Cricetulus griseus: one gene and its partner. The protein of the gene in region 1 purifies or fractionates together with the protein of each later gene. This does not show direct contact. Links are inferred from orthologs where the notes say so. Each region holds a gene or a part of one and is shown on either strand. Other genes may lie near its edges.

Evidence for each region.
Region 2: the proteins of Stk38l (region 1) and Mob2 purify together in Homo sapiens (affinity purification with mass spectrometry; 9 studies listed by BioGRID and IntAct, counting the BioPlex papers as one, with this or other methods). This does not show direct contact. The link is inferred for Cricetulus griseus from reciprocal best matches to the Homo sapiens genes STK38L and MOB2.

What each region holds. Positions count from the first base shown.
Region 1 is NC_048601.1:2,943,536-2,947,354, reverse strand, and holds part of Stk38l (serine/threonine-protein kinase 38-like), read left to right. Parts: intron 1-562; coding exon 563-680; intron 681-1,075; coding exon 1,076-1,199; intron 1,200-2,616; coding exon 2,617-2,712; intron 2,713-3,819. UniProt on the Homo sapiens protein: Involved in the regulation of structural processes in differentiating and mature neuronal cells.
Region 2 is NC_048596.1:59,174,972-59,178,790, forward strand, and holds part of Mob2 (MOB kinase activator 2), read left to right. Parts: intron 1-2,472; coding exon 2,473-2,597; intron 2,598-3,257; coding exon 3,258-3,568; 3' UTR 3,569-3,819. UniProt on the Homo sapiens protein: Stimulates the autophosphorylation and kinase activity of STK38 and STK38L.

The DNA of each region.
Region 1 (3,819 bases):
TTCAGCCCACCCACTGCAGGTCTCATTGTCCCCTGGTCCCTGAAGTGACGTCTTCTGTCCCACTTTTGGTGATTTCTACAATAGTGCCCCTGTTGAGAGCAGCTAATAATGGTTTTGTAGAATTTGATGTGGATCAAGGGGAAGGTGCACAGAGCCCCTGACGTAACTCGATGGAGTTACGTTCTAAGGAAGGCAGCCTGTGAGCGCGCTTTTTGTTGCGGCCTCAGATCAAGCTGCTGTAGGTTCTCCCACCTGGATCTTTGGTGAGCAGAAGCTGAGGCTCAGAGAGCAGCTCACATGAGTAGTGAGCAGAAGTCAGGGCCACTGGACGCAGCCTTTTCCTCCCTTTTGAAGTAGAAGAAGGGTCTCTCCTCAGCCCAGCATCCTGTGTTCTGTCCACAGTGCCTGACTCAGCACCTGTCAGTCAGCCTTACATGTGACACCCTGCCTTACATGTCACCAGTAAGGGGGTGCTTGTCCTGTGCTTCTTCCTGTACTAATCCACACTCAGATGTTGTCTGAGAGGTTCAGAATGCCAGTTTGACAGGATGCTGCTTTGTAGGCATATTCCACAGTCGGAACACCAGACTACATTGCTCCAGAAGTCTTCATGCAGACTGGCTACAACAAACTGTGTGACTGGTGGTCCTTGGGAGTGATCATGTATGAAATGCTAATAGGTGAGTCCTGTTTACATGCATGATACATACCTCTATTGGCAGATACTTCTATTGGTACATACCTCTATTGGCAGATACTTCTATTGGTACATACCTCTATTGGCGGATACTTCTGTGACAGACAAAAATAGCAGAGCCATTTTTAATCTATTCCCCACCTTCTTCTGCCCAGGATCCCTATGGCTTCCCTTATCGGATGCCATATGCAGGGTTCGGATAAGATGAGGTGGGGCTTTACATCCTTATGGACTTCATTAGTAGTTTTACAGTAAACCAACACCTATAAGAAACAGATGTCGCTACAGAACACTCAGGTTTTTTTCTCGTGGCGTGTACTTGTAGGTCTGGTTGAACTGATCACCAAAGCTGGTAATTTTTGTTTCCCTGACACCCAGGCTTCCCACCTTTCTGCTCTGAGACACCTCAGGAGACATATAGGAAAGTTATGAGCTGGAAGGAAACACTGGCATTCCCTCCAGAAGTGCCTGTCTCTGAGAAAGCCAAGGACTTGATTCTCAGGTTGGTGACTTAAAACTTCCCAGTGCCCACACGAGCTGTTTCTCTGAGGCAGGGCAGGTGTTTGGGGGCGGGGAGAGAATGCCGAGTGATCTGGTCAGTTTTAATAGAGGATTTACAAAATTCAAACTCTAAAAAGACTTTATTAATTTTTATGTTTAAGTGTGTTGGGTATTGCTCATGGAGGCTAGGAGATCCCTAGAGCTGGAGTTACAGGCAGTTGTGAGCCACCTAGTGTGGTTTCTGCGAATTGAACCCAGGTCCTCTGCAAGAGCTGCCAGTGCATTTAATTACCTACTTCTCCTTCCCTCCAAAACGCCAATGCTTACAAAGAAGTTTGTGGGAAAGCGGGGTTTAGATCAGAGAAGAGATCTTCTTGGACATACTGATATTTTTAGCAAAGGGTCACTTCTGTTAGACTTCAGGACTGGGTGTGTCAGAAACGAAAGGAGGGTAAATGTATTAGAAGCAGAAGCCCCTGCCATGAAAGTCACAGGCACCTAAGCAGAGGGCGGTGGGAGGAGGTGCTGCAGCACTCCTGTGAGGGGAGAAAGAGCTGTTGTAACGACTCTTTTTCTGTCCTCCAGCCAGCTCCCAAATAATGACACAGACTCCTCATTAATGAAAGCTCGGCCTGTAGCTCAGGCTTGTTCCTAACTAGTTCTTATCACTTAAACTAATCCATTTTTATTAATCTGTGTTTGTCCTGTGGTATTTACCTCTCTTCTTGTTTCCTCTCCGTGTCTCCTGGTTTCTTCTGCGTGTTTAGATCCTCCCCTCTTCCTCTCTCTCCCTGGGAGTCCCGCCTGTACCTCCTGCCTAGCCAATGGCCATTCTGCTCTTATTATGGCAGTCACAGCAATGTATCTTCACACAGTGAACAGACATCCCCAACAGGATATGAACTGTGACAAGCCTTGTCAGTGGACAGCTGGCAGCGTACTGTATAGAATTGTTAAACTATACATGGCCTTTGACCAGCAGTTCTATTTCTGGGAATTTAATAGAGCGTGTTACCATGTAGGAGCAAAAAGAGTTAGGCACATTTCTTGTGTTATTTTAGTTGTGAAAAATTGGAACTCACCTAAGTCTTCAGCAGCATCGATGGATGTAACACTACGATGTCTCCATACACAGGTCTCAAAAAATTACCTCACAGGAAAATACTGAACAGCGCTGCGAAGTTTTCTTAGTACATTAAGTGATAAAAGTCTTAAAGTAATCATGTCAGCCCTGTTTTAATTATTTCAAGCAATGAAAGAAGTGACTGCAGAATGTCTGTGGGTGATTGTACTTCTCCATGTTTCTCCTACCCCAGTGTACTCAATCACTAAATTAGAATGCTTCCTAGAAACACTTGAAGGGATACAATCAGAGTTGCAAGTGAAGTATGTGGCTGACGTCTGTTTTCCCTTCCTAGGTTTTGTACCGACTCTGAAAACAGAATTGGGAACGGTGGTGTAGAAGAGATCAAAGCCCACCCCTTCTTTGAGGGTGTAGACTGGGGCCACATCAGGTATGTTCTGAGGCCTGGGCTGACAAAGGGAGCTTCTGGATTGGTGGTTAATGTGCCTCTGATTCTTATAGACCCGAGGTTCTCAGCCTGTAGTTCATGACCCCTTTGCGGGGTTGAACGACCTTTTCACAGCAATCGCCTAAGACCATCAACAAACACATTCATAACAGCAGCAAAATTACCGTTTTGAAGTAGCAATAAAAATGGTTTTATGGGTGGGGTCACCACAGCGTGAGGAACTGCACTAAAGGGTCACAGCGACAGGAAGGTTGAAAACCACTGTTATAGACGAAATACAAGAGGCAGCTCTGCCTCATCTGAGACGTCATAGACTTGGTCTGCTGCTCTGCTTCCCTGTGTCTGTTACGGAAAGGTCGCAGAGCAGAGCCTGGCCTGTCTAAGCTCAGTGCTAGTTGGGGACAGAGGCCAAGGTTGTGGCTCTTTCCACCCAGTTGAGTCTTAACTAGACTTCCATAGTCATCGTGCCTGGGTCTAGAAAGTCTAGGTAAGACACCATGGACAAGATGTCAACAGTTCCTCAGGGGAAGATGAGAAATGTATGGTGTGTGCTCATGAAAGTCCTGGGCACACAGTGGGACCTCTAGTGAAGGCGCATATTACTCTTAGTTAAGACTAATTCTTGTATAGACACAGACAGTACGTGCTTTTTCATAGTGTGGTAGGCTTAGCACCCAGTAGATCCTTTAAAAATTTGTTGAAAAAAAGTAAATAAAAGCTGATAAAGGGCCTTTGAGGTGATTCAGCAGGGAAAGCCTGGAGACTCAGTTCAATCCCCAGTCCTGCGTGGTAGGAGGAGAGAGCCAACAGCTGAATGCTGTCCTCTGACCTCTACACTTGTGGGGTTTGTGTGTGTGTGTGTGTGTGTGTGTGTGTGTGTGAGAGAGAGAGAGAGAGAGAGAGAGAGAGAGAGAGAGAGAGAGAGTGAGTATAACTTAAGTTTTAAGTGTAATTTAAAAGTTTTAAGTGATGGTTTCTTTTAACTATTTCTATAGTTAAATGTATCTACTACCATAAGGCATTTTTTGTGGAGGTATTTTTTTTAACCTAACCTCTCTGGTTCTCTTAAAATTTATATGACTGACAAGT
Region 2 (3,819 bases), on another chromosome or scaffold:
CCATAACCAAATGCCGGCAATGGAGGTTACTGAACAGCACTGGTATATCTTGTGGTTCTAAGAAGAGCTTCTTGGTTCATGAACAACAAACAGCTCTTTTTGAAAGGCATGAGTACTGGCCATGGGAGCTCTGCCACTCTGGCTTGATCACCCCCAGCTTGGACAGCATAGCAGAATTCTGTCTCTTATAAAACTTTAAACAGGGCTGAGGATATGGCTCAGTAGCAGAGCAATTGCTAGCATGCATAATGCTGAACTTCAGCATAAATTAGTCACTCACCAAATGAACACTCACTCAATCCAAATGTACACTTTGGCATATATAAGTTCTTCAATACTTATTAATGAATCCTCACTCCCAAGGTCATGGTATTAAGAACTAGGCTTCTGGAGGTGAGCCCCTGAAGGAGTCCAGCAATGAAATAAATACTGGAAGATCAGCACACAGAAACAGTCACAGGTCCGCATGCTAGCTGTGTATGATTGAAACCCTAACTAATCAGAACCATTTACAATAGTTCCAGAAGCAACAGAATGCTTAGGTATAAACTTAGCATTCAGAGGGCTCTGTTTCTGGAAACCACAGAAGGACAGCACATGAACAGCCCCACCGTGTTGGTGGATTGGAAGACAACAAGCTGAACGTACAGATCTACGCTGAACAAATTTGTGGTTTAGTGTATCCCCAATTAAAACTCCTCAGAGCTATTAGCTACTAGACTCGTGTGTTCTGGAATTTACACAGAAGTGGGTAGCTAGAGTTACTCACAACAGTGCAGCTGGAAGGGCCCACAGTTTGAAGATACACTGTTGTGACAGGGCAGTATAGTGTTGCCCAAAGGTGAGGCAAAAGTTAGTGGGGCAGAGCAGAATCCAGAAGGAAACTCAAGCACAGTCTTTGATTTCTGATGACTTGGCCATTGGAACTGAGTAGAGAAATCTGGAACATGAAACACTATGTTTTTACTTTGAAATTTTGTTTTGTTTCTCAATAACTGCTGCTGTGAAATGCAACTTTACACAGAGGAAAGGGAAAGTACCTCAACTTTAAGCCTCACACCTGATGCAGAAATGGGAAGACACAGGCTTTTATCTGACCTAGCATTAGGCTATCGGACATTATAGCAAAGGAGTGGCCCACTGATGAAGAGGACTCAGCCCATCACTTTATTATGATGATTCAGAACTTTTATTCTAAGAAAGACAACTATGAGGAGAAGCAACAAATACAGACTATGTGGAAACATCTGGGAGGCACCTGTTGCACAAGAACTAGTATCCAGGACATGCAGAGAACTCTCAGTGCAGCAGCATGCAAGTAGCAGTTTGATTGACAAGAATGGGGAAGGACTGGTTGCACAGTGACAGTATGGCAGTGAGCCACTAAGAAGATATTCAGCACTGGGGAGTTAAAGAAACACAAATGAAACCTACATGGGGTATTGCAGAACACTAGGTGCTGGGGAACACATGCCATACTGGTGGGGTGCAGGTGGCATAGCACATAGGATAACATTGACACATTCTCATGAAATGATGCAGACCTGCTGTGGCCATAATCCTGTTGTTGGCTTTTGCTTTAGAGACATGAAAACTTGTGTTTACACAGAACGCCCCTCCCCACCCCTACCATGGGAACATATGTAACAGTGTGGTCTATAATTGTCTCCAATTGGAAGGAAACACAAGCCCTCAGCAGGAGCTTAGAAGAGCATGCTGTGCCCTTGAATCCAGAGCACCTAGGTGGTGTGACATTCCCACAGCATGGCCAGATACCAGAGGCTTGTGAGAGGCCCATGTGAGTCCTTCATCCAAGCTTTCCCAAGGAGATGCCTAAGGGGGCAGCAGTCAGTGCACCAAGGGTAGCACCAGCTCCTCTTGGCAGAACACAGAGTAACTGTCATTCTGCACAAGGTTAAGACCCAGCAACTCAATATACTCAGTGTCTCCTCATCCCTGATGCTGGTCTTCTCAGAACTAGCAATCTTACGAGCATTGGCTACCCCATGCACAGGCTAAAGAGTTTGGGGTGGGTCTCCAGGGGTCAGGTCACTTTACTGCAAGTATCTATTCCCCATGGGGAAAGTGATTTCTAATTCTGGGAAAGGGCACCACCAACGGTCTAGGCTCTCTGACCAGTCTCAGGCCACCTCCTAGACAGATACCTGTGCCCAATTAATTTTAAGGAATTTATTTACAATAAATACAGATTTATTTAGAAGAAATGAAATCTGCAGAGCTAGGCAAAATGAAAGTGTCACATTGGGCTCCCTGTATTCTCGCTTCTGTACATGAAGCCCTTGCTCTCCTCAGATGCTATTCTGAGCACTCTGTGTGTCCTATTGGAATAGTTGTATTTAGCTTGCTTGCCTTATTCTATTGCCTTTGCGTTTGTGTTGTATGAGTGGGAGCCTGAACTGGGGCGGGTGTTTGGCAGGGTTGGCACCCTGACCAAAGTCTCTGTCCCTACAGACAATACTACTGGTATGACGAGCGGGGGAAGAAGGTCAAGTGCACTGCCCCCCAGTATGTTGACTTTGTCATGAGCTCTGTGCAGAAGCTGGTAACTGATGAAGATGTGTTCCCCACAAAATACGGTATGTCTCTTGCAGCTTGTACCTAAATCCTTATGTAAAGCCAGTAAGTTCTTCAGCGCTGGGCTAGAGAGTCTCTGGGGTATGATTGCAAGTGAGGTCTAGAAGGCCTACAACTTTGGAACTCTGGCTCCTGCTCAGCAAGGGGGACCTGGGCTAATGAGGGAGGGAAGTTCCCATACAGGATTCAGCCCAGCTAGAGTCAAATACCCACCTACACTCTGGGACCCACTACATGGCCCCACTCGGTCCCTGCTACCAGCTCTGCACAATGAGGCTATCACAGTCCATCTTGCTGTGGTTAGTATTTCCAGACCTGTCAAGGTCCTGATGGGGGCTCAGAACTCATCCTGAGCAGCAAAAGGCCAGCAGTGACCTACAGGGATTCCTGTGTACTTGTTACTCCTCCACTACCTGGTCTACAGATAGCCCTGGGGTGTCTGCTGGAGGAAGCATGGAACCTGTAGGCCCATTTGCTGCGCAGGTGACCAGCATGGCTCAGCCAGTGCCTATCACTCTGGGCACATGCCACTCTGAGGGACAGATTGCTGGGAACTCTGTGGAGGAGTGGTAACAGGTGTGAGCACTTCAGGTCCATCCAAGAAAGCCTAGTTGTAGGAGCTTGACCTCCTTACAGGTCTGTGACATGTGGCCTCCCCCTAGGCAGAGAATTCCCCAGCTCGTTCGAGTCCTTGGTGAAGAAGATCTGCAAGTATCTGTTTCATGTGTTGGGCCACATCTACTGGGCCCACTTCAAGGAGACGTTGGCCCTTGAGCTGCACGGACACTTGAACACACTGTACGTGCACTTCATCCTCTTCGCCAGAGAGTTCAACCTGCTCGACCCCAAAGAAACTGCAGTCATGGACGACCTCACTGAGGTGCTGTGCAGCAGCCCGGGTAGCAGTGGTGCCACTGGGGATGGGGCCAGCAGTGGAGCTTCTGGAGCACAGAACCATGTGAAGGAGAGATGAGCCTCCAGGGCCAGATGGGTGCACATGTGCAAAGAGACAACTGTGTGTCTGTGTGTGCGCACACATGCCCCGAGCGTGCTGGTGGCAAGGTCTGAGGGCCCTGGGCTGCGCAGAGTGTGGGCTCCATGGATGCCGCTGGAGTCAAGGCGTGTTTCCTGACTTCCCTGTTGGATGGATGAGTGCTATTTGTAGTGAAGAGCCTTTGGAGTCATTCATTCATTCAACAAACATTTATTGGACTGATGTTTTGA